5 separate regions of the Mus musculus genome follow, and all the other regions are reported to be linked to region 4. Evidence: microRNA targets listed by miRTarBase, many of them from high-throughput screens and not tested one by one. Region 4 holds a microRNA gene; each other region holds the end of a gene's coding sequence. Distances are from middle to middle.

What was found. The annotated mature microRNA mmu-miR-673-5p reads CUCACAGCUCUGGUCCUUGGAG and lies in region 4 at 2,165-2,186, shown strand. An mRNA with a match to its seed (bases 2 to 7 or 8) in the 3' UTR can be bound and repressed. Matches are read on the target gene's strand: a 7mer-m8 pairs with bases 2 to 8, a 7mer-A1 pairs with bases 2 to 7 and ends in A, and an 8mer does both.
Region 1: miRTarBase lists Mkrn2 as a target of mmu-miR-673-5p. Seed matches in the 3' UTR shown: 7mer-m8 at 3,871-3,877.
Region 2: the mRNA of Jph1 is a reported target of mmu-miR-673-5p. Seed matches in the 3' UTR shown: 7mer-m8 at 1,733-1,739 and 7mer-A1 at 3,431-3,437.
Region 3: the mRNA of Mrpl57 is a reported target of mmu-miR-673-5p. Seed matches in the 3' UTR shown: 7mer-m8 at 4,029-4,035.
Region 5: miRTarBase lists Sox11 as a target of mmu-miR-673-5p. Seed matches in the 3' UTR shown: 7mer-A1 at 4,104-4,110, 7mer-m8 at 3,512-3,518 and 7mer-m8 at 2,420-2,426.

What each region holds. Positions count from the first base shown.
Region 1 is chr6:115,616,984-115,622,087 of GRCm38, reverse strand. It overlaps Mkrn2 (makorin, ring finger protein, 2), which reads right to left. Exons shown (of 8, transcript NM_023290.3): 7 at 4,646-4,790; 8 at 3,418-4,494. The coding sequence ends at 4,357. Raf1 (v-raf-leukemia viral oncogene 1) reads left to right here. Exons shown (of 17, transcript NM_029780.4): 13 at 226-272; 14 at 1,761-1,879; 15 at 2,172-2,303; 16 at 2,395-2,529; 17 at 2,679-3,519. The coding sequence ends at 2,822. Among named protein-coding and RNA genes, the nearest start is that of Mkrn2, 18 kb to the right of the region's middle.
Region 2 is chr1:16,993,393-16,998,496 of GRCm38, reverse strand. It overlaps Jph1 (junctophilin 1), which reads left to right. Exons shown (of 5, transcript NM_020604.2): 5 at 938-3,559. The coding sequence ends at 1,018. Among named protein-coding and RNA genes, the nearest start is that of Gm46085, 100 kb to the left of the region's middle.
Region 3 is chr14:57,826,276-57,831,367 of GRCm38, reverse strand. Mrpl57 (mitochondrial ribosomal protein L57) reads right to left here. Exons shown (of 2, transcript NM_026401.2): 1 at 5,046-5,092; 2 at 2,623-4,859. The coding sequence starts at 4,851. The coding sequence ends at 4,543. It also overlaps a transcript of Ska3 not described here and the pseudogene Gm22738. Among named protein-coding and RNA genes, the nearest start is that of Mrpl57, 2.6 kb to the right of the region's middle.
Region 4 is chr12:109,569,840-109,574,943 of GRCm38, forward strand. It overlaps Mir673 (microRNA 673), which reads left to right and starts at 2,151; the gene lies at 2,151-2,241. Meg3 (maternally expressed 3) reads left to right here. Exons shown (of 10, transcript NR_027652.1): 10 at 1,552-1,890. It also overlaps a transcript of Rtl1 not described here.
Region 5 is chr12:27,336,433-27,341,536 of GRCm38, forward strand. Sox11 (SRY (sex determining region Y)-box 11) reads right to left here. Exons shown (of 1, transcript NM_009234.6): 1 at 1-5,104. The coding sequence ends at 4,789. Among named protein-coding and RNA genes, the nearest start is that of Sox11, 3.7 kb to the right of the region's middle.

The sequences.
Region 1 (5,104 bases), not on the chromosome of region 4:
CTGTGTTCTTACCGCCCAGAAAAAAATCCAGCTCACAGCCATCCCCGGCCTCTGACAATCTGCCTTCCCACTTCTGGGTTTGTCTTGGATAGGCAGAATGTGAGGTGAAATGCCTGGCTTGGTTTGCAGAGCAAATCCAAGTTTCAATATGCAGAGCACAGTGCTACCCACCAGTTAGCTGAAGGGCAGTGAGGTGGTTAACTGAGTGATTTTTCTCCTTCACAGCTATTTGCATGCAAAGAACATCATCCACAGAGACATGAAATCCAACAGTATCCTTTGGTATTGAGTTCTCAGCTTAAGGACCCAAAAGGGCCTTTTTGCACACATGGTTCATGGTGCCAGAATGGGGAGAAGGGGACTTTTAAAGGAAAATAGAAATATAGTTGAGAAGCCAAACATGGTGATCATGAGAGTTCCTTAAGGTTTTATTATTATTTTTTTTAACCAACAGTGATCTGGAAATAATTCCTTCTGAGGCGATACACACTTGAAATAGACTTGAACTCAGCCTGGTTAGATTATCCAGAATATAGCTTGAGAAGGTTATTGCATCTATTTCTATTGAGCCTATGGAAGGTGTAAGCCTGCATACAGATGGGAAAGTATCTGATGCATGTATCTAATACCAACAAGTCATAAGTGATTGCTGCCTCCTGCTCACTTTTCAGACCAGCATAATGTCAGCCATATAGTAGACCAATGTGATATTTTGTAGAAGAGACATGAACAAGATCCCTTCAAACTAAGTTATGACACAAGGCTGGAGAGTTAAAGGTTTACTGTTGATCTTTCTAATCAAAAGCAATTGCTTCTGGTGGTCCTTATGGACAGATACCAAAGAAAAAGGCATTTGCTAGGTCAGTAGCTACACATCGTATATCAGGAAGTATGCTAATTGCTCAAGTAAGGACACCACATCTGGTATAGCCTGTCACTTTTTACAGTCCATCTGTCTTCTGTACTGGCCATGAATCACCACCCCTGCATCTTTCAAGTCTTTGATGGTAGCACTGATTGCTGCAATTCTGCCAGGGATGTGACACTTTTGGTTCCCATCCCTGGCAGAGACCCTGCTAAAGGCTTCCATTTAGCTTTTCCCAGGGGAAACAGTTTGAAGGCCCACTGTAACTATTGTGAGTCAGACTTCAACCAAAATTCCACTAATCACCTGACCTCCTATTTTTAACTCAAAGGACACAATATTTCTTAAGGTCTCCTGGAATTAGCATCTTAGAACCAGTATCCCAGAATTCCAGAAATTTCAAAATGGCTACTTTCTGTTAAATGTACAGAAGTCAGCCTAGAGGCCACTGTTAGAAATAGCATCTCCTTACCAACTGCACCTTTCATGCTGTAAGATGGCACATGGCAGGGTGGTTAAACTCAGCTGTTCTGCATGGCCAATGAGCTATGCTTATTCGGTGGCCATGACCTCCTTTCTTGAGGTCATTCTTTTTCGGCAGCTAAGCACTGGGCCAAGATTTAAGGCTTGAATTCCAATAAATCAGCAGGTCACAAATCAGACCAAAATTGCCTGTTACCTAGCAGTAAGCTGACAGAAGTCACAATGTAGACCAGTTGGGTGGTAAACCTGAGTACCAAATGTAGGCAGAGGGGATAAGCAGTGTGGGGCCCTGTAATTGAGTGTGCGCATGCCATCGTTCCCTGTCTCCTGAAAGATTTAGTAGTGAAGTGAAGGAGGCCAGAAGCACTGTTATAAACAGTATAAACTGTCAGTCTCCTTAACAAGCATCGAGATATATTTCTCCATGAAGGCCTCACGGTGAAAATTGGAGATTTTGGTTTGGCAACAGTGAAGTCACGCTGGAGTGGTTCTCAGCAGGTTGAACAGCCCACTGGCTCTGTGCTGTGGATGGTGAGGAAGCTGGCCCCACACAACATGATGGAATTACTGGGCCAGAGTAGGGTGCAAAATTTGACAGCATTTCTGCACAGCCATGGGGGTCTGGTTGATCTGTGGTGTCAGTTAGCTTAAGGCAAAACCGCATATCCTGGCAAAGCAACAGAGGCCAGCGCCTGTGGGGTTTTGTGGGAGGAGCTACCCTGGGCTAAGGACTTGAACTTCCTTCCTGACTAGTTAAAATAGCCTGGTTCCTCAATGTCTCTGGAGGTCATTCCCTAGGGATTAACACACTTCATCCTTACAGGCCCCAGAAGTAATCCGGATGCAGGATGACAACCCGTTCAGCTTCCAGTCCGACGTGTACTCGTACGGCATCGTGCTGTACGAGCTGATGGCTGGGGAGCTTCCCTACGCCCACATCAACAACCGAGACCAGGTGATCTGCATGGCCGGGCGACACAGTGAGGGGCTACTTAGTCCTGGGACTCTCCTTCACAGACTCCTTTGTTCAACTGTTTCTTCTTTAGATCATCTTCATGGTAGGCCGTGGGTATGCATCCCCTGATCTCAGCAGGCTCTACAAGAACTGCCCCAAGGCAATGAAGAGGTTGGTGGCTGACTGTGTGAAGAAAGTCAAAGAAGAGAGACCTTTGTTTCCCCAGGTTAGAGAGCTCAGTTGAAATATAACATTCTAAGGATGTAAATGTGGGCCAGGATTGGGTCGGTGGAGAGAGGACCTCCACAAGCTCTTGGTATGGTTGGGGAGATACCAAGTTTCCAACTAATGAGACCACGTGGGGCCTTGTTTCAGATCCTGTCTTCCATCGAGCTGCTTCAGCACTCTCTGCCGAAAATCAACAGGAGCGCCTCTGAGCCTTCCCTGCATCGGGCAGCTCACACTGAGGACATCAATGCTTGCACGCTGACTACATCCCCAAGGCTACCAGTCTTCTAGCTGATGATGTAGCTGTTCTTAGGCCACCAGGGGACGAAGAAGAGTCAGCAGGCACCACTTTCTGTTTCCTTGGGGGCAGAATGCATGTTTTTGGAAAAGCTGCTGCTGCTAAGGACCTAGACTACTCACAGGGCCTTAACTTCATATTGCCTTCTTTTCTACCCCTCCTGCCCTGGAAATGGAAGCTGTCCACCAAGAAAGCCTGCTCAGCTCCAGAGGTATACAAGTCAGCTGAGTATTTGTAGGGCAAGTGGCCTTGGAGAAGGTAGGGCACTCCGGCTGCTGCAGGGACATGCAATTGGGAACTTGGCTCCTTGAGCCTATATGGACAGTGGTGCAGTGCCAGTTTTGCACATGGAGTCCTGGCCACCTGGGGGAGCCTGCTTTGGTACTACAGAACTTTGTGGACAAACTGTGTCTAAGGTGTCCTGTGTGGATGGCTTTCCAAGCGCGGTGCTCCACCTTTGGCAGCCTCCCACGTGCTGAATCTGTCTTCCAGGAGCTGCCCCTATGGGGTGGGCCGCGGCCCAACCCTATCTGTAGCCACATCCTTGTCTGTAAGAAAGCCAGGAATACAGGTTTTCTTAATGATTTTGGGTTTTAATTTTGTTTTTATTGAGCCAATACAGTTGGTTCCTTATGTTATTTTAATAAAATAAATTAAATTTAGGTTTAATGGCTACTGACTCCTTCAAAACTTGCAGTGCAGTTTCTTGTGCAGACAGAACTCAAGGAGCCCCCTCTGCAGTTCATGAACAACCAAGTGAAAAGCACACAGGTAATAACAGGTTTTCTTATAAAAATAAATTCAGGTTCAGGACAAATTTGCTCTTTCTTGCCCCCAGTTCTTAGACAGAGGAGTGACTGCTCCTGTTTACCACAAAAACAAGTGTGGAGCCTACTACTTTATAGGGGAGAACAAGCAATCTGTGAGTCCTGTGTCTTGTGCTCTTAGTACAAGGGGAGGGTAAGATGGAGTCTCCCTGGAGATCTTCACAACTGCACACACCTGTGACTTGAGACACTGGAAGGAACTCAATAGCCACCCTCACAGCTGTAAAAGTCTACACTATGGTACAGCAGCACCAATATGGCCAAATGTGTTCTCACTACACAGCTGCATCAATTCCAAGGCTCGACAACTCTATTAGAGATGATCACTGCAGAGGAGCCTTCTACAGGGCTGGCGATGTCTTGGCAAGGAAAAAAAAAAAAAACCAGATCTGCTGCAAGTTTACTGTTGCTTAAGGAAGAAAGTCACAAAAGAAAGATGGCAGTCAGGTTTCATTTAAAAGCACTCAATTAAAACAGCTGGACCACATAGCTGGTCCCGGAGAAAGGGGTTGGAGGTACAACTGAGAGCTCAACTCTAAATGTAGTGATTCTGTGGACGTGGTGATCTCCCTTCCCTTCCCAGGGGGACTCACTACTGCACTCACATCCCAGTACCACGTCACCTCGGGTCGGTGACAGATGCGTCCACACCGTGCCTTGGAAAGTTGACTGCAGAGCCAAATGAAGGCGTCAGCACTGACTAGGGTTCTGATGATTCTACTCCAGAAAGGTGCATGAAGAGGTCTCCTAGCTCTGTCACATCCACATCGTCAGTGCTGGGGACTTGCCGGGTTTCTCGGTTCTCGATAAAATCCCAAAGCCGAACTGAGTTAAAGAACTGCAAAAACAGCCAACAAGCACCCCTGGGTCAATGGAGATAGCAGCAGACGATGAGTGCCAGCTTGTATTTTGCTTATGCTGACTCCTGTTCTGCTGCCAAAGCTACTAGGAGCCTGGGCAGTAAGCACCCAGGAATGCCCACTACTTACCCTCACAGTGCCTTCAGAGCTTAGCTGCTTCCGAGGTTTCTCTGGCTCTGCCAGCCGCCCATCAGGGTAAGCATGACGGTAAAGGCACTTGCTTCCAAAGGGGCAGGTCCCCTTGCCTTGTTCAAAGTATTTGCATGCCTTCTTCCTGAAAAACACAAAATCAGAGGCTGATGGAAAAATGGAATTAAGCGTGACTACTGTGTTCTGGCTACATTACCTCTTTTCCACTGGGGAAGCCTTGCTGGAGAAGTGAGGTGGCCTGTTGACCTCACAGTTGGTACTCTGATTCTCAAGCTAGGCAAAGCTGCTGGGATGCACTGTGTGGAGGCGGCAGTGCTTAGGAGCAGGGCGCCCCACCCCCACCCCATCCCTGAGCTCCAGTGCTGCACTAGGGCTGAGTGAGGCTTGGATAACTCCAGCATGCCGAGGTCTGAAGCTGGTTCACTTGCTCTGCTCAGG
Region 2 (5,104 bases), not on the chromosome of region 4:
GTCTAGAGTGGTTTGGTTATGATTCAAGAAACAAAGAGTTAGACCTGAAAAAAATGTATGTCTCTGTAAGTATTCAACTTCCTATTTGTAGGAAGGAGGGAGTAGAACCCAGAAAAAGACCCAGAAAAAAAAAAAAAAAAAAAAAAAGCAAGAGTTAAGCTGAGGGCTGAACCTGTAACTCAGTTGGTAGAGTATTTCCCTAGCATGCACAAAGCTCTGAATTTAGTCCCCTGCGCTGCATAAACCAGGAATGGTATTGTATACCTGTATCCCAACACAGTAGGAAGCCCAGAAAGGAGGATCATAAATTCAGAGTCATCTCACCTACATAATGAGTTCAAGGCTGGTCTAGGCTACATGATACCCTATTAAAATAAAAGCACCTCCCCGAGTGTTCTGAATCCTTCCTTGGAAGAATGAAATCCCCTGCTTTCATTATTTTCTAACAGCCTTGATGAGGGGCTACTCTTCTTTTCTGACTCTTTCACTTTCTAAGGACAATGGAATCCCACTACCTCCCAGCTCCTTACCAGTGACCTGTCCCAGTGTGAGAGATGAATAAAGTACATTATTACAGAAAAAAAAAATACTGAGGGGTCTCATTATGTAGCCCTGCTAGTCTAGAACTCACCATGTAGACCAGGTTGACTTCAGACTCAGAGTGCCAAGGTTAAAGGTGTGTGCCACCTCACCCAACTTGAAGCCATTTTTTTAATTTAATTCAAATCTAATTTTAAGTGGAAGTTAGATGGTGACACCATGTAAATGTAGCATTACTATTCTTAATTCATTCCTTATGGATTATCTTTCATGCCTTAGTTTCTGCCACAATGTTTTTATGCTTATATTTCTGCTAATTGGTTCTGGTGATGGGTTTCTGTCAAGCAGCCATACTGACATGAAAACGTTGTGCTTGCTCTGTTCTGTTTCTCCTTAGGGCCCTAATTCCATCATGATTGTCCTGGTCATGCTGTTGAATATTGGGTTGGCCATTCTTTTTGTTCACTTTCTGACTTGATTGGAATTAGGACAGGTAAGCATAGCCTTAATTTCTACACATAATCATAGTAATATCGTTTTCTCTAATTCCAATTTACAATTTCTTTTAAACAATGGCATTGTCCCTCACTTTAATTTTGAATGTGACTCAGTATGGTTACTTAACTGCTATAACTGTTTCGACTCATCAGTGAAGTCATGACAACTAGTAGAGTTAGCCCACAGTTCTGCCTTGGTGTCCACATCCCAGTCCGACTCAGACACAGGCAAGGACGCTTAGATCGGGATGGGATCACAAGAGAGATGAAACTTGGAAAATTCAGCCAGAGGACCTTTCACGTCCCCCAGCAATGCTTTGTGTCTTTGGGGTCCTCTGAGAGCTGAAGCACCCAGCATGGTGAAAAGCAAAACTTAATAATGATTCTTTTTAAAACTTTTTAAAACTCTGCTGAAGCAGCCCCATCCGGCGAAGTTCTCGACGTTGGCTACTCCATCTGTCCTAGCAGAATGTGACTAAACTGGAAATGTATGGACCTGCAGATTTTTTTTTTTTTTTTTGATAGAAGTCAACAGCTGCCTTACTATTTTACCATCTGACGTTTTTTTAGTAGGGAGCTGGAGAGAGAGGACTGCCAGAGGAATGCAGTCTGAGGATTGTGTTGCGGTGGGCGTGGCTCCAACATTCACTCCTATCTCATTAGAAGTAGGTAGCACCGTCACTCAGCAGTCTTCTGCTGTGACCTGCTGCTTTAACATCTCCTGGAATGTTCTGGAAGGGAATGTTTCATTTGCTTGTGCACGACTCTGCTCATTTCTGCTGTTGATTTAAATATGATGTATGTCATCTTCCACCTGCAGTCCTGGCTGGATGAGAACACACTGGAAAAGCAGCAACAAAAGACTAGTTTATATCTATATATATCTATATATACATATATATATATATATATATATAAAATGTATGTATGTATGTATATATAGTGTTTATTTTAATAGCAATGCATTGTTTTCATGTTGTTTATTCTTTTTAAACCAATAAAGGGTTACTTATCTTTAAAATATAGTGATCTGATGGTATTATACCTTCCAAAGAAATAATTTAATTTTAAATATTTTTAACATCATTGAGGTGAGTTGTTGATGCACTCAGGAGGTGTTAAGTTTTAAAAGCTGAAGGACAGACAACCGAATACTAAGAAGTGAAGTCAAAATGTTGCTTGGATTGCAGTAATCAGTGGTTACGGGTTCAGTTTCATTGCTGACGTACGTTACAACCAAATAAAATCTTGTCAGTGGCTCTATTAATTCCCATGAAAGTTAAGCAAGATCTATTAATAGCTACTCTTCTCTTTCTCCACCCCACCCCCAACGCGAATTTTGGTTGAATGCCTTCAGGTGTTTAAGCTTTGTTAAGTCACTGCCCCTTCTCTGCCTTCAATGTTTTTCAAAGTTGTTTTGTAATTCTATATTAAATTTTAAAGACTTAGACGGTTTTATTTTAAATATTTGTCTTTTGCTGTCCTATATCATTCTGATATTGATTTTTTTCTATTAAATAATTTATTCAGAAGCATGCTTACTTAGGGAAACTACATGATCTTTATAAAAAATAATTATTTAAAAAGAAATCAGGGTAGGAAAGGTATGTCTGAGTCTCTTAAAGGCATTACCTGGTGGAGGGGGAAGTCTTCCTAACTTTTGTCCATGGTGTCATGGTGTCAGCCGAGTCTCTCCCTTAGGAGCCTTTGCAGAGCAGAAGGGACAGTGCGTGTCACTCCACTGGCAGCACAGGGGAGGACTGAGTGCTTCATCACCTTCTGGATAGTAAGCCAGCAGTGGCTTCTCCAGAAGGGCGATATATTGAGACTTTAGGGTATGACCAGTATGGATTAAGGAAGAAGGCAGAAAGAGAGCAAATAAAAATCAAATTACAACTTGTATATTTATTTTTTACATTTTGCTTTGACTTTTAAATTTAGGGAGTCCATTTTTACTCAAGAGCAAGCTAAGTTCCTCTGTCGTCCCCACAGTCTCCCTGCCCCTTCCTCCCCTGTAGCTCCTTATGCTGGGAAGGCTGGGTTTTTTGTTTTTGTTGTTGTTGTTGTTGTTGTTGTTGTTTTTTAAGAAAATAGACTATTTAATATTATTAAGTGTTTATTTAAATGTGTAATGCTTTGAAAATAATGGGCAACAGAGAACTAAAAGATGTTTATGAAGTGAGCTTGTTGGCTACATTTATAAATATATATGATTTATAAGCTTTTTTAAAACAATGCTCAAATTGTGGGTATTTTTCTAAAATGTGCACAGTTGTATTTTCCATGAAGGATCTTTCTAATGGGTTGTTATACTGTACTCTACATTTTGGACAGCACGTGAAGTCTGCCAATGTACTTAATAAAACATGACTTTGTTTATTTAAAGTTTCTTTCTGTGAAAAAAAAAAAAACCACCTCCCTACTGGTGGGTTCCTTAATTTATAATCCTTGAAACCAAAATGTATAATGTACAGTTTGTACAACTGTAACTGCCCTAATAAAAATGTTGGTTATTAATAAAATTGGAAGTGTCTTTCCTTTGTGAGTAAATTATTGACTGAGGTGTGGGGAATGTTAGAGATGATAGTATTAAAACAGAGACCTTGCCTGATGAGATGGCTTAGCAGGTTAGGAAGCTGTCAAGTCTAATGACCTGAGTACCCACATGATAGGAGAAGAGAACAGAATCATGAAAGTTGTCTTCTGACCTCCACACATATACCATGGCATGTGTGTGTACACACTCATATGCCTACAATTAAAGCAATTCAATAGAAAAACTTACAAAAGTTATGTGCTGAAGAATTACAGTAGAAGGGGGGAAAGGCCAGTACAACCACGGGGCAGAAAGAAGGCATACTGCTACACTCTGTCTCCTTGCCTTTTATACTGGGATTTTTCTCTTCTCTCTCTCTATTTTTTTCCTTTTATTTTAAATAGGATATTTTCTTATATAATATATCCTAATTATGGTTTCCCTCTACTTCTCCCAACTTCTCCCCTCCAATCCAGATCTCCTCCCTTTCTGTCTATTAGAAAAGAATGGGCTCTAAGAGATAGTTTAAGATAAAACAAAATTATCACATCTAAGTTTAACAGGACAAACCTGCAAAAGAAAAGAGCCCAAGAGAAGGCACAGAAATCACAGAGACCCATTCACTCATTTGCACACTCAGGAATCTCATAAAAACACTAAACAGGAAACCATAATATATACACAGAGGACCTGATGCACAGGTCCTATGCATGCTGCCTCAGTCTATGTGAGTTCGTGTGAGCTTTGCTCATGTTGACTTAGAGGGTCTTGGTTTTTTTACTGATTTCTTGATCCCCATCCCCTCTAGATCTTACACTCTGTCTCCTCCCTCTTTCTCTGGGTTTCCTGAGCTCTGAAGGGAGGTATTTGATGGAGACGCCCCATTTAGTGCTGAGTGTACCAAGGTCTCTCAGTCTCTGCACACCTGGCTATGAGCCTTTGTATTTGCCATCTAATGCAGGAAGAAGCATCTCCCATGGCTGGACAAAGAACTGCTCTACGAATATAGCAGAATAGGTGTTTTCTAGGGAGGTGGTTGGTGCGGTTGGTTGGTTGTTTCGTTGGTTGGTTGGTTGGTTGGTTGGTTGGTTGGTTGGTTGATTGGTTGGTTTCTTTTGATTAAGACTAGTATTTGGATTTACCCTAGGTCCCTGGACTATCTAGTCTCTGGTTCTTGCTCACCCAAGCATAGTTGGGTGTGGGTTCTATTTCTTTAGTCAAATCAGTTATTGGTTGGTTACTCCCACAGGCTTTGTGCTACCATTGCAATAATATATCTTGCAGGCAGGACACCATTGTAGATCAAAGTGTTTGTGGCTGCCTTGGTATTTTTGTTTGGTTTGGTTTGGTTTGGTTTGGTTTGATTTGGTTTGGTTTGGTTTTTGATAGTGTGCTGAGTATGTTCCTGTAGTAGAGACAACTAGAATAGAGGGTTGGAATCTATATGTTGGTACCAACTCAACTTCTCTATGTTCAGTGAGTTGTGTAAATATTGTCTTCAGCAATGGAGCTTTGCTGTCAGCTTGTGGAA
Region 3 (5,092 bases), not on the chromosome of region 4:
CACACACACAACACACAATTAAAAATAATTTTAAAGGGTCAGAGTTTAATGTTTTAGTGCCTTTAGTAGTCTTGGCAGAGCAGATAGGTTTGGCAGTGGTCATTCTTTAGTTCTTTCTTATCTTCAGGAGTTGTACTTCATAAGAATATTCATTACATATACTTATCTGGCAGAGAGTTTTTACCATGATCATGAAGATGGTTTTCCCAAGGTGAGGCTTATCCATTGCCATCTGTATGTGCTGACCCCTGCAGTTTCCTCAAATGTGTGAAACTCGGATTTGAAATTTGTGGTAATGCATTGTCTCCCCTAAAAGGAAAAAAGAAACCTCTACAGTACTGTTAGAAGCCACAAAAGACTGAAGTGCTGTGTGTCTGACTCCACTACTGTTTGTGTGATGTGTCTAAAACATGCTTGACCAACCCCTAAGAGAGCTTCGAGTTGAGAGCTGCCACTTCTTTTTATACTCTTCTACCAGGTGCCTATGTTGGTTTAAAAAAAAAAATTGGTCTTGGTCTGTATCAATGGTGACAAGATGCTAGACCATTGAGCGACCTGTGAGGAGACACTGCCTTTTTCACATAGCCCATACATTCTACAGGGCTTTCGGTTATTTTAAAACGTCTAGGCCAGCAAGATAGCTCTGAAGTAAAGGCAGTTGCCTCCAAGCTGAAATCCTGGGTTTGGTTTCAGGAAGCCAAATGTGCACAGTAGCTTGTGCATGTGTAAACACACAAATGTAATAAATAGTCCAAAAATTAGCTAAATTGTTATGGTAGTAATCAAAGGAAAACATTTTGAGTATATGAAGACTTAAGCATTGATAGCCGGGTGTGGTGGCGCACACCTTTAATCCCAGCACTCGGGAGGCAGAGGCAGGTGGATTTCTGAGTTCGAGGCCAGCCTGGTCTACAAAGTGAGTTCCAGGACAGCTAGGGCTATGCAGAGAAACCCTGTCTCAAAAAACCAAAACAACAAAAAACAAACAAACAAAAAAACAAGCATTGATGAAATGCAGCCCTGAGATGCAACCTCTGAATTATCAATACCTGAAGGAATTTATACAGGAATGATAGAGAAAGCTAGTTGTTTGGAGAGCTTTTTACAAAGCAGTAAATGAGGAAGACCTATGTCTGTTACACTCGAGACACCAAGAAGCCATTAAAAGATTTTGTAGAGTCGAAATTGGAGCACTCCCCAGGTGTGGTGGACAGGCCTTTAATCCCAGCACTTGGGAGGTAAATACCTGGACTTTTATGAGTTCAAGGCCAGCCTGGCCTACATAGTAAGTTCCAGCCAGGACTACATAACAAAAAAAACAAATGAAGTACATCCTTGGGAAAATGGCAGCTATTGAGTGCCTTCCCGAGAATGGATGAGCAGCAGGAATAGGCCCTAGCTTCCCTGGTAAGGGAGGCCTGAGGTGACAAAATGCTGGGTGGCCAGTGAGGGAAACCAAGACTGCTGTGAGCTCTGGGATATGGGCATGGAGTAAGAAGTGGTAGCTCACAACTGTAACCCCAGCACTTGGGGACTTGATGCAGGGTTGCTCAAATTCATTTTGAGCCATATAATGAGACTGTCTCAAGGGGGAAAAATAAAAACTTAACCAGAAAACCTTGGTTTATGACTTACTTCATTTGACCACTGGCAGTAAAAGCCATGTATTTGGAAGATTCATCATTTCTTAGTGAGCCTGGACATAGAGTAAACTAGCTACCAGCAGCCTTTTCTTGGCTTTTTTGTTTAGTCTTTTTCCTGTTCTAGGCCTCCAGCCTGGGCCTTTGCACATGGTAAGCAAGCAGACAGCTAGCCCTGCCTGTCCTGGAACTCACTCTGTAAACCAGGCTGGCCTTGAACTCAGGGATCTGTCTGCTTCTCCCTCCCAAGTGCTGGGATTAAGTGTGCACCCTCACCGCCTGGCTTCAACCTTTTCAAATGAAAGTGATGCCTGTATCATGTAGCCCTTTCAAAGTTTTGGAGATGTTTTGTGTGTGCTGGAAGTACAGTTTGAAAAAACTCCTATAATCCCAGCACTGGAGGACAGTGACTATTTGTAGGTCAGCAGTCTCTGGATCATACTTTATTCTTCTTTCACTGTTTAATTTTGCTACCATAAACAGTACAGCAAGAAACAAATTCACTAGTATCTTCTGTGTTACTGCTGAGCATAAAGTGGTACAGTATTAATGGACACCATTTTGACAGTGGCAGTGTACAAAGGATTCATTACCACTTTTAAGACTGTTCCACACACTGTAGTCATTAAGAATGCATGTATACTGACATGCTTGACAGCAAGGTTTATTGGAGAAAAAAAAATAAATGTCCATTACCAATAGATGTTAACAGGCATATCTATATTATTGTGCATGTAATAGAAATATGGGATCTGTATAGATTCACAAAAAGGCCCATGATACACTAATGCAGTCAACAAGCAAGTTTGCTAGGCATGGTGGTGCATACTTACAATCCCAGCAATTGAGGGGAAGAGGCAGGAGGATCACTGACTTCAAGGCCAGCCTGGGCTACACATTTAAAAAAAGGAAGTTCAAATCGTTGAAAAATGTAACCACCAGAATGGATGGCAAAGGAAATAAATTACATTATGCATTTTTAAAAAGCCAATATAAATTATTTTACTTACAGATCCTTCTTCCCAAAAACAGAGATGAACAATAGTGGGGAAGTCAGGTTTCTACAAAGAGAATGAAGGATGCTATAGCAATGGAACCATGGTTATATGACAACTAAGTAGACTTGTACACATAAACATGGGTGCATATGCAAAGCTCTACAGAGTATAGCAATTTCTAGGTTTTGATATGGTTAGAGGAAAAATGTTACTTGGTTATAGTTACAATGGACTTGTACTTTTTTCTCTTGGTAACTTTATGAAATCACCAACTCAAAAGATTAAAAAGGATTGGGTATGGTAGTATATAGCACTAGGGAGACAGAGATCGGTGCCCATCTAAATTTGAGGCCAAGACTATACAGTAAGATCTGTATTAAAAAAATAATACTATACAGAGAAACCCTGTCTTGAAAAATCAAAAAAAATATATTAATAATAAAAAAATCCCAAGTTGCTCTGCATCTGTAGACCCAGAAACTCGGGAGACTCGGTCAGGAGGATCAATTCAGTCCATAAGTTCAACAACCTACACAGACCTACTCAAAAAAGTTGTGTGCACAGGTGGTGGTGGTACACACCTTTATTCCAGCACTTAAGAGGCAAGAGGAAGGCAGTTCTCTATGAGTTTGAGGCCAGCCTGGTCTACAGAGTGAGTCTGACAACATCTAGGGCCACACAGAGAAAACCTGTCTTGAAAAACAAACCAACAACATTAAAAAAAAAAACAAAAAACCAAAAACGGTGTTTTTAAACAAACTTTAAAAAAAAATTGCACTGTTTGTATCCATTTAGGAGTTCCAGGCTAAGGTGGGCAATATAGACGAGCTCAAAAAACCAAACAAACAGAAATTTTCCTGTTAACAGTTCTAGTAAACATCTTTACTTCACACGTCCACTCACAGAATCCAAATTCTAAAAGAAAACACTCTTCTTTTGGGAAATGGTCTCATCTATCTCAGGCTGGCCTCAAATTTGCATGGAAGTTGACCTAACACTTCAGATCCTACTTCCACTTACAGAATGCTGTGAAATCAAAGGCAGGCTCTATTCTAGAGCAGTGGTTCTCAACCTCCCTTACACTCTTTAATACAGTTCCTCATGTTGTGGTGACTCCAACCATAACATTATTTTCATTGTTACTTCACAACTGTAATTTTGCTGTTATCATAATACAAATCTCTGATACTCAGCCTCATGAAAGGGTTCTGCAACCACCACAAGGGGTCATGCCCAACAGGTTGAGAATGGCTATCCTAGACAGAAAGTAAGAAAACACCCCTTGTACAACAAAGCTCTAGCCAAGTACCTCAGCCTTAAGACTCATCAGTTTGTAGTTTTACAGCATTTAAATCTAAAAGGTGCAAGGTATGGTGGCACTTGCCTTTAGTCACAGCACTTGGGAGGCAGAGGCCAGTAGATCTCGGAGGTCAAGGCCAGCCTAGCCTATACAGCAAGTTCTATGGCTATATAGTGAGACAAACAAAAAAAAAAAAAACCCCACATTTTACAGAAGGGCAGGGAACCATGCCTGTAATTCCAGTAGCTAGGCACAGGGAGGGCTGCTGCAAGCTTTAGGCCAGAAAAAATAAAAAACAACCCTGAAAATAGACCGATTATGCACATATGGAGCCTCAAACAGTCTCTTTTGGCCTTCTGAGTCTAGGTCTTACTAACTACATCAGCAAAGATTTTCCTGCCTCCACCTCTTAATGTTGGGATTACAGGTGTGAAACAAACGCCTAGGTAGGGTCCCAAGTATTCCGTATGAGACAACTATTAATCAATCATGTTTGCTTTAATAAGATACTGGTCGAAGGGGTCACACTGGTACATAAATTACATTTTCTCAGCTCCAGGACCAAGTAAGGATAGAGCAGTCCGGTATCCATAATCTTGAAGGGTTAGGACCATTTCTTCGAGATGTTGAGATGGTCTAGCTGGTCTGCAATGTATCTATGCTTAGGGAACTTGGAAGTGGCCGCTGCCTTGATGGCTTCAAAAGCCTGGGCCCGTCGCTCCGCGGCGTGGCCGCACTCCTGCTCTGCTGTCATGTAGGGCATGCTGAGCCAGTAGTGGTTCTCGGCCTCCACCTCCAGGCGACGGATCATGCTCTCCTTCGCTTGGAAAGACACGGTACGCGGCCGCCGGTGCTTCCCGATCCACTGCCTGCCCGGAATGCGGCCGCGGAGGAGGACAGCGGTGAGGAACATGGTGCCTCCTGAGGAAATGACACGAAAGCCGCGGTCGCTGAGCCCCGGACCCGGGAAGCGAGCAACCGGCGTGCCAAGCTTGCGCCCACATCCCGCGGCCGAATCCAGAGCACGCTCGGCCTCTCGCCGGAAGTGAGTGGCCGGGAGCCGACTACACTGCAGGATATGGGGGTGGGGGCTCCCCGAAAACCCACCTCGCGTACCAACCGGCCCGGGACACGCTCCCCTCGGCGCTCCGCGT
Region 4 (5,104 bases):
GTGTCTAGGTGCCTGGTCTCAGATGGGCCTTTGGCCCCTTGTGGGCCAGGTTTTTGGGTGACTCTTAGGTAGCTTATGTCTCTTGGAAGTAAAGAAAGGGAAGCCAGGGGCCTGGCAAAAAGGGAATGCTTAGATTGTGACTAAGCTCTAGGCTTGCTCCAACTCAATGTCACCCTGCCTCTTGAAGTAGTGGGCACCTAATACTTGCTCCATGATGAAGTAGGGAAGGCTAAGTGAATGTGGATAGGCCGGTGACTAGGAGGTCTTTAAGGACTTTCCCCAGGATCTAGTCAGCTACAGGACACCCTTCCTGGTAGAAACACTGCTTTGGAGATATTATGTCCAGAATAAAACTTTCTGAGAGCTAAAATGTCCTCATTGACATTTTGACCTGAGTGATCCTGAAAAGGAGTTGTTTGGCAGTTCCCAAATTCTAAGGTGGACTTGGCTGTGCCCATATCATCACCGAGGCCCCTCTCTCTGGGTGAAAGGAGATTATTTCGCCCCCAAAGCCTTTGTTCCCACCATTGGTGACAATCAGCACTGACTTAGAAGTTACCTGTGAGATTTGGGTACAGCCTCAAGCACCTGGCAGACTGGGGAGATTGGACCCCTTGAATTCTTCTTTTCTACAGAGTGCTCCGTAGGCACATGGGTGGGGGAGGGGTTCCCAGGGTCTTACCCATTTGGGCATCAGACCTGTTTTTGTTTTTTGTTTTTCTTCCAACTGAACCTTGAGCAGCTTGCCTGAATCATCCCCAGCCTTAGTTTCTCTTCCTGTACAAAGGGTGTCATTAGTGACTGCCCATCATATGGTGGCTCATGAGAATCAAGGTCTGAGTTCTGGTCATCCTTGTCCCTTGTGGAACGTGTGGTGGCCTTGGCTGTTTGCCATATCCTAGAAATAGTCAAACCAACCTGGTTTGATTGGGGGATTCAGTGAGGTTTTTTTTGTGTGTGTGTGAAAACGAGTGTTTTGTTGCTTGGTATGCAGGTGCTCATGTCTGCTAACCCATACTGACTGTTGTGGAGGTGGGCCCTGGGTACAGATGTACCTTAGTTTCTGAAACTTCAGGTCCATGTGAGACTCGGACAGAGTGGAGGGCAGGAGGGTAGCACCTACCCAGCTCTGGAGCGACATAGAAAGCCTTGCTTTCAAATGTTAGGATTCAGCAGTTTTGATGGGAGGCTCTGAGATACAAGACCAGGAAGACTATTAAGAACACCCCTCTAGGAGGGCAAGGCCAAAGTCTTTGGAAAACCACCAAGGTTTAATAGACTGTGAATTGGCTAGAAGTCTTGGGGGTGGTATGAGAAAGATGGAAAATCCTAGAATAGGTTTTTATTTATTGGAAAAGTCAGGAGCTGGTGTGTAGGTGTTGCCCCACCCCCATGGCTGTCCAGAAGTTGGGCCTTCTACATAGCTCAGGCTTTCTGAGCACAGGGCTGGGTTGCCCCCTCCAGTTCCTACCCTGCCTAGTGCATGAAAACTCTTTATCTGCCATGGGGATGGGGAGCAGATGGCTTCATCTGCAGCTGTGTCTCTCTCAGCCTCTACAGCCACGGGGACGCCTTGCACATTTCCTGTGGGACATGCTGGACCCAAGACTCTGGACCCTGGCCTCCCCTTGAGTAGAGAGACCCACCTACTGACTGATGAACTGCGCTGACCCTGGGGTCAGGCATGTGGCCTTGATCCCTACCCATGGACCCTGAGACTTGGGGGGGTGGGAGAAAGGCTGTTGTGTCTTCACTGTTGAGTCTACATCTGTGAAATGGGCTCAGGTTCCTACCTCACAGGGCTGTTGTGAGGCAGCCGCAATGTGCTTAGAAGCATGGGGCCTAGTGGCTCATGGTGCTTTCAATAAATTTCTTGTTTTAACTAAAGCAGTGATGGGTGTGCTACTAATACGAGGGAGGGTGGGTGTCTTGCTGGGGCTTCCTTTTGTAGTGTAGTGGGGTAGAGGAGTTGCCTCAAACCCCAGAAAGTCACCTTTGTGCTGCCCTGTGTGTGCTTAAGAGATGGATACACTGGGGCCCGATGAAGGGCCTGTGCTCGGTGGGTTTAGGAGAACCCTTTCCTCGTGTGCTCGGGATGCCAGTTTCCTTCTGGAAATGAAGCCATGCAAGAGCTGTGGGAGGTCTGGCTTTGGAGCCTGAGGGGCTCACAGCTCTGGTCCTTGGAGCTCCAGAGAAAATGTTGCTCCGGGGCTGAGTTCTGTGCACCCCCCTTGCCCTCCACACTCCCCGGGGCTATGCCAGGGCCCTAGCTGAGGCGTCATCTTGACCCAGATGGGTGGTCCCATTGGGACTTGGGGCCAACACAGCTTCTACAAAAGTGGTTCCTGAATGGGTCTGAGTGAGTGCTCAGACATTCATGATGCCTGGCATCAGGTATGCTGGTTGAGCTTGGGGAGGTGAGCCCTACCCTCATGGCTTTTGAGAGGCCTTGGGGGGACAGTCAGGCTGCCTGAGCAGCTGAGAGGAGGGAATTGGGAGCAAGGGGATGGGAAATGGAGCTGAGTTTTGGTAGAGCAGATGGTAACACGAACATTACCCCAGCAAAGAGGAAGATGACAGTCATAATCACTACAGCTGCCACATGTCTACCAAGACCACAGTTGCCACACAGTGACCAGCATCTACTAAGATCACTGCTGCATTGCCACTGCCACCGCCACCGTCACCCCTCCCCTTCTCTCCTCTTCCCTCTTTTCATCCTTTTTCTTCCTCTCCTTCCTCTTCTGACTTTTCTTCTTCCTCTGCCTCTTCCCTACACGTCTTTGCTTTTTCTTTTGATTCTTCATCTTCCCCTTTCTTCTCTCTCCTCTCCTTTTTTCCTCCTCTATCCTTCTCTTTCTCCCCCCTTCTGTCTTTCCTCCTTTTCCCACTTCCTCATTCGCACCGAGAAGCACCTGGCAAGTGCAGCTGCATGCTCTTCTGAACACCCCCTGCCAAGAGCACCATCTTCAAGACTTGGGCATGACCCAGCCTGGAAGAGCCAGTACCAGCCATGATGGGGACTTTGGCATGTGTGATTGAGTCGCAGTGCAGACAACCGTGAGAAGACATGCCTCCAGATGCTGAGCCCAGCCGAGAGAGTCCAAGAGCCCAGAAGAACTCTTTGAAACTCAGGCTTCCAGAGTGAGTGCCCTAATGCTGCGTTACCGAAAAGGCCTCCACTTCAGCTTCTGATGGAGCCCAAATGTCCAGGAAAAAAAAAAAGACCTTTTTGATATTCCCAAGAAAATAACTCATCTCCAGCTTTCAAACAAGCCTCACATTTTGTCAGTGTCTCTAAGTGGAGTTCTGTGTTTATAGTCCAGCCCTGAGTCCCAACCCAGCCTCTGATGAGGATACCCAGCTTCAGGAGTCTGCTCATGTCCTTGGGCCAGCACATCAACTCCAGTCTCTGACAGACTCTGGACATCCAGGGTAAGCCCTTTTGATTTGTCAGAGCACAGAGCCCAGCTTCAGCCTCTGATGGACCTCAGGGACCAAGAAGGAGGGGCTTTCTTTTGTGATGTTCTAGACCTGGGACTCTAACTCTCGCTCATGTGTTCAGTCAAGCCCAGAAGACCAGAAAGAGGTAGTTCTTTGATATTCTAGTGCCAAGCTCCAGCTGTAGCCTCTAAGAGAACTCCTATGTCTAAAGGAAGTCTTTCATAGTCTAGACCAGTCACCACCAAAGCATAAACATCTGGAAACTGTTCAGTTTTCTAGCGCCAGGAATCCACCTCCAGTCTCTCACAAAGCCCAAATGTCCCAGAGAAATGGACAATATAAAACTATAACTCAACGATGGTTCTTGAAGAAGCTCAGAAAAAGAGACCGCCTTGATAATTTTGATCTAGGACTCTAGCTTGTTTGTCTCCAGTGAAGTTTGTATGTGTAAAAAGAGGAACCTCTTTGATTTTCTAGAATCAAGACTCAATCTCTCTCTGATGAACTGTAGATATCCAGGAAGACTGGCTCTTTTGTCGCTCTAGAGCTAAGACTCTGGCTCCATTCTTGAGTGATGTTCAGATGTTCACAAATATGGATGCTCTTGAGGGAGAACTAGTGTGAGAACTATACCTTTAGTCTTTGATAAAGCTCAGAATTCCAGAACTAGGACCCTCCCTCCAGCTTTTGAAGCTCAGATGTCCAGAAAGTGGGACCTCTTTAACGTTTCAGACCTAAGAATCTACCTCCAGCCCAGAAAGAGGGACTCCTCTGATGCTCCAGACCTAAGACTCTACCTCCAGCCTTTGATGAAACTCAGATGTCCAGAAAGAGGGACCTTTCTGATGTTCCAGCACTAGGACCCTCCCTCCAGCCATTGGTGAAGCTCAGATGTCCAGAAAGAGGGACCTCTCTGATGTTCCAGATCTAGGACCCTCCCTCCAGCCATTGATGAAGCTCAGATGTCTAGAAAGAGAGTCCTCTATGATGTTCCAGTTCTAAGAATCTACCTCCAGCCTTTGATGAAGCACAGATGTCCAGAAAGATGGCCCTCTCTGATGTTCCAGATCTAGGACCCTCTCTCTAGCCTTTGATGAAGCTCAGATGTCCAGAAAGATGGCCCTCTCTGATGTTCCAGATCTAGGACCCTCTCTCTAGCCTTTGATGAAGCTCAGATGTCCAGAAAGATGGCCCTCTCTGATGTTCCAGATCTAGGACCCTCTATCTAGCCTTTGATGAAGCTCAGATGTCCTGAAAGAGGGACCTCTCTGATGTTCCAGACCTAAGAATCTACCTCCAGCCTTTGATGAAGCACAGATGTCCAGAAAAGAGCATTCTCAATGATGTTATAGACCCAGAACTCTATCCATCTATAGCCTTTGATGACGTTCAGACATCCATAAAGAACTTTCACAATGTACTAGAACCTGGACTCCATCCCCACTCTCTGATGTCCAGATATCTAGAAAGGGGACCTCCACTCTGTTCAGAAGCTAAGCTCCACCTCTAATCTTTGATGCCCAATTATCCAGAAAGAGGACCCTTTACGATGTTCTAGAACAAAGACTGTACTTTTCATTTGCTGATGAAGCACAGATGCCAGAAGCACAGAAGTCTAGAAAGAGGGTCCTCCTTAACATTTTTGAGCTAGAATCCCGGT
Region 5 (5,104 bases), 82 Mb from region 4:
ACATCCAGGTTGCCTAGTGGCCGACTGCTCATCAGGAGGCACACCTCAGCTCCTACCTATTGCTCTTTGTGGCTGTGGTGAACTGTGTTTGTCAAGTGCCGGCAACCGGAAGTTCCCAGTGTGTGGAAACCACCCTGTCTGGGCACAGGCAGACAGGCACTGGGTCTTCAAAGAATATCGCTATCCAAGAAAATTATTACTTCTATACATGGAACGTTATGAGTGGATTTCCCTTTGTACGCCATGCTATATTTTATGCACGTTTTGTGCTTTTATTGAGTATAAAAATAGGTCTCCTTTAAAATTCTGTTTAAGTTCACTAAAAAACTACTTGTTTGTGAAATTCTCTTATAAACTCACTGCATCCACATGGAATAGATAAACTAATCAGGCAGCTAACGCATCTAGGTAGTGTTAAAAAAAAAGAAGAAGAAGAAGACGATGGGAAAAAAATGAAGGTGTGTTAGGAGTTGGGAGTTGGGGAAAGGGAGGCAGCAGTAAAGGAATGAATGGGAAGTGGCTTGGCTTCAGTACTTTTATACTGTGGTGGAAAACATAAGCAACACACAAAGGGGGCATGAAAAACCCCAAACCAAAACCTGAGTTGTTATCAAAGAGCAAAAAATGTTGAGCTCATCAAACCCAAAGAGATATGGCAGGATAAATCAATAGGAATGGACAGTGAGAAAGAATTGATAATCAAAATAAGCCAACTCTCAGAGAAACACGTCAAGAATCGTTACATGGAGACGTTTACTTTGGGGACTTATGAATTCCTGTTCGGACACATGTAAGGCTCAGTCCTGTCGTGCTTGCAGGCCACAGGCTATACAAAGGGTATCTGAAACTGACATTCCTAATGAAGTTTTTTTTTTTTTATATATAAAATTTGGCCCTTAGAATAACTGAGAAATATCCTGAAAAACCTTCCCTGAAACTGTAATAAACAAAGTTTCTTTATCTACTGATAAAATCGACAACTCAGTAAGCTAGTTTCGCTGGTCTTCCTACATAAGAAAAAAGCACAAATATAGTTGCCTCAGAAATCTGTTAAAAGCAGAGAACCTTGCAGGAAAAAGAGTATAAAGATTCTAGAAATGAGAGAGTACAAGAAAACCTCTCTTCCAAGTGTCCACAAAGATACATATGCCCATTAGGAGAAAACAGTGAGACTATACAGAATACCCCATCAGAGAATAAGAAAGCCGAGTGATGGAGTATATTTCTATTGAATGACTACTTGAAAATTGAGCAACTTATTTGCCTTATTTCCCAGATTCCTTGGGCAAAACTCATTTGAATTCTGAAGTGAAGAACAAATGTTCATTTCTTACACTGTTCTAGTATCAAGATGATTGTGGTTTCAATTCCCAGAGAAAAAAAGTAGACCTTGCCTTTTGATTTTTTTTTCTCTCAAAACAACTAAGTCAGATCCTGACTGCTAAGAGCATGCATATTTAAATCACTTCCCCTCCATTAACATTAAAAAGAACCATCCAGGCCCAAAAGAGCTGCAATGATTTTTTTTTTCTAGCTAAAGGCTAATCATTCTACAAATAATTTGCCCAGTGACCGTAGTCATTCATAACATGTATTTGCAAAGCACACTTTAAGCACACTGCCTTTCATTCGTATTATCTTTTTAATAAGGATGCATATCGAGAATGTAGAAACTGGAAATTATTTCCACAGCTTAAAGAATAAGAGAACGCTGGTTCAGGTGTTTTTGTTTTTTTGTTTCTTCAAAGATGGAAATCTCGCCAAAAAAAAATGCACTCGAGTCTGTGAACTAGGTACAGGAGCAGGGTACCCAACCGGCTAGACTGCTATGCACACAACGCCCACGCCCACGTTACCATTTTAAGATACTGTCAATGCTCAGTTAAAAATAAGACTTACTTAGGAGGAAAAAAAATGCAGCTAACCTTTTATTGAAGCCTGGCCAGTAGCTGGAATACCTTGTGTATTAGACATTCAATAGAGTTCACTGGGAATGGTCTTCACAATGCATTCGTCGAAACCGCTTTAAATATTGTTAAAAGCGCATTCAAGCGCCTTTCCTGAGTTCTAACTGGGATTTAAAAAAAAAAAAAAAAAAAAAAAAAGAAAGAAAGAAAAGATTTCTTTTTTTCCTGATCTCCAACCAAGAACTGTCTCTTCTTTTCCTACCAAGAAACTCGGCCACATAATTTTAAAATACAAATTGCAGCTATGCTTCCATTCTGAAGCCAGATCCTCACTCCTTTTCTAATTTATTTAAAAGTTCCTTCCTCACCATGGAAAACGCCCGACGGGAAACGGGAACACATGCAAATGTTAAGAACTCAAGACACTCAGAATGCCTTTTCCTTAGGCTTCAGAATCTGTCCCCAGTAAACCGCTGGTGAAATTATTCGCGGCTTAAAGGTCCCCGCGTGGCTCACAGCAGGGCGCTGTGGGGGAGGGGTGGGCGAGGGAAGCCCGAAAAAGCCACACCGGGTCGCCGCCCCACCCACGCGCTATGAGATCGCGCTGCTCCGTGAGGGCGAGCTCTCTATCTGCAGTGCCTGTCTTGCGTGGGGCACCGACCTGGATCCCTACTGGTCAAGTCCCCGCGGTCAGCGCCCGCGCCGTAATGGTTTCTGTGGGTCTAGAGTCGGGCTGTTGGGCACCGAGTTTCAATTCACTGCTGAAGGGCTCCTCGGTCGCGTGCGTCGCGGCCCTGGGGAGTTGGGCTTGCGCGCGGGACACCACGAGGGACAAGCTGGCGGGGGGGAGGGGGCAGTGGGGGAGGGGAGGGCTGGACCGGGCCCCTGGAGGCAAATGCTCCATCAAAGAAACCAAAGCCATCCTGCACCGTGAAGGCGGCTCTAGGCGCATTTGCTTTCCTCGTGCCCCACCCGCGTGGATAACGCTGAAGGGCGCGGCCCTCTCCACTCGTATCTCATTGAGCGCGCGCGCGCGCGCGCAGCGATGCCGCCCGCGGATGGGGGTGGAGATTTAAAAAAAAAAAAAAAAACCAACAACAACAGAAAAAACCCAAAGCCAGAAGCGGAGGCCTAGCCCTGTGGACACTAGCTCCAGACTCGCCAGGCACGGACCAGCGCGAAGCCCACGGCGGGGATGGAGACGCAGGGCGGGGTGAGAAGGGAGGACACCGGGCTGCAACCTATGGCAGCCTAAGGGCTCCAAAAAGCGGCATCCGCCCTCCGCCACCCGCGTCCGCTGCGCGGTGAACACGCGGCTCCCGGGAGAGACTAAGGGCCATGCGAGCTTCTATCCGATCCTGCTGATTTATTAAAATCAAGACACAGACTTCAGCACACACAAAAAAACCCAAAAACCCCGGCGGTGACTTCGACAGTGCATTGAGTCTGCTTCGCCACCATTTGCTACTAAATATGCAATGGTCTGTTTATTTAATTATATTGCACAAAATGAGAAAATTTTAAACTATGTGCCTTTCCTTTTTCTTTTTGATAAAAATCGCGTATCCAGTTTCAAACCTTCTGTCTGGGGCCCCGTCCACACATCACAGCGATGAGATACATAGGTCCTACTATGATACAGTACATACAGTCTTAAACTAAGAACAGCTCTGAGGTCTAGGTCACCATTTTCAATAAATCTTTACCTACAAATATTGAACAAATCTCTACTATAGCTGTACAAAAAAGTTTGCTTTTTTTTTTAAACCACAAGGCCTTTAGATGCAAGGATTACTTTTAAATTTTTAATCCTTTTAAACCAGGACATAACGTACCAACATATTTGCATGCTAAAAAAACAAACAAAAAAGAAAAACAAAAACAAGAAGAGAAAAAAAGAAAAAGAAATCAAAAGGGAAGAAGTGCCTGAAAGTCTTACTGAAAAAACACAGCAAGATTGTTCCCTTTTCACTGTACAAAAATACGCCTGAAAATATATTAATTTTTAAAAAAGATTGAGGTCTGTTATGTATCAAAAATGTTTCAATACCTTTTTGTACTGAGGTCTAGGCTGTAAGGTATTCAATCAAGGAGGTATAAGGGAACGAGTTACCAAAAAAAGGTTGCCAAGTAGAAATCACATTTGTAAAACCATAAACAATTTGATCTGAAAAGTAAACTCTGGTCTTAAGTCAGTTCACAGTTATGATTTTTGTAAGCGTTTGTACAGACTGCATTTTTTCAAGCTCCCTGCAGTTTAAGAAATCGGATGCATAGAAGACATCAGCTTTCTCCCTCCAAAAAAGAAAATAAAATAAAAAGGTTGCAATGGTCCCTTTTTGTGTTTTTCTTTTTTTAAATCACCAGTTCCTTTTTAAATCTCTTAAGAAAAAAAAATCAACTCCCTAGAGTAACAGTTGTGCCGTCTAAAGGGTCCTCTGCCGATGTCTTTCAGACTTCAAAGAGCCACAAGCTTCAAACAGCGCCTTCCGGAGCGGGGCCTCCTCCCCTCCCCCGCCCGGTCCCCTCTGCCTTTGTTGCAATCACGAATTTCAGGAAAAAGAAATAGAAATTACAAAACACGTTTTTTTACGGGTGGGGAAAAAATCACAACTCCAGACTAGGTGTGCAACTACCTTGAGACACGATAAAGGACGGGAAGAGTGGGGAGACCAAAAAATTTTTTAAAAATAAAAATTAAAAAAAAAACTTGGAAAATCTGTTTAAAACTACTCATTTCACTTTAACTCCAACAACATTTCATCACCGTTTCCAATTTCTCAGCGCCACATCTCTCTGACCATGAGCATCTTCTCCCCCTCCCCCCACCATCCTCTTTATCCTGACCGCCACGACTGCCTCCCGAGGAGCCCTGCGCCTCTCAATACGTGAACACCAGGTCGGAGAAGTTCGCCTCCAGCCAGTCCCCCGCGATCATCTCGCTCAGCTCCGGCGTGCAGTAGTCGGGGAACTCGAAGTGGGAACCCAGGCTGCCCTCGCTGAAGGAATCCAGGTCCTTATCCACCAGCGACAGGGACAGGTTCCCCGCCGCTCCCGCGCCCAGTGGCTGCTCGCAGGCGCTGTGCGCGCCCTGGGAGAAATTCAAGCTCAGGTCGAACATGAGGTCGTCTGCATCCTCGGCGCCGCTGCCGCTGCTGCTGCCGCTGGATGAGGAGGTGGACACGCAGCGGGAGGAC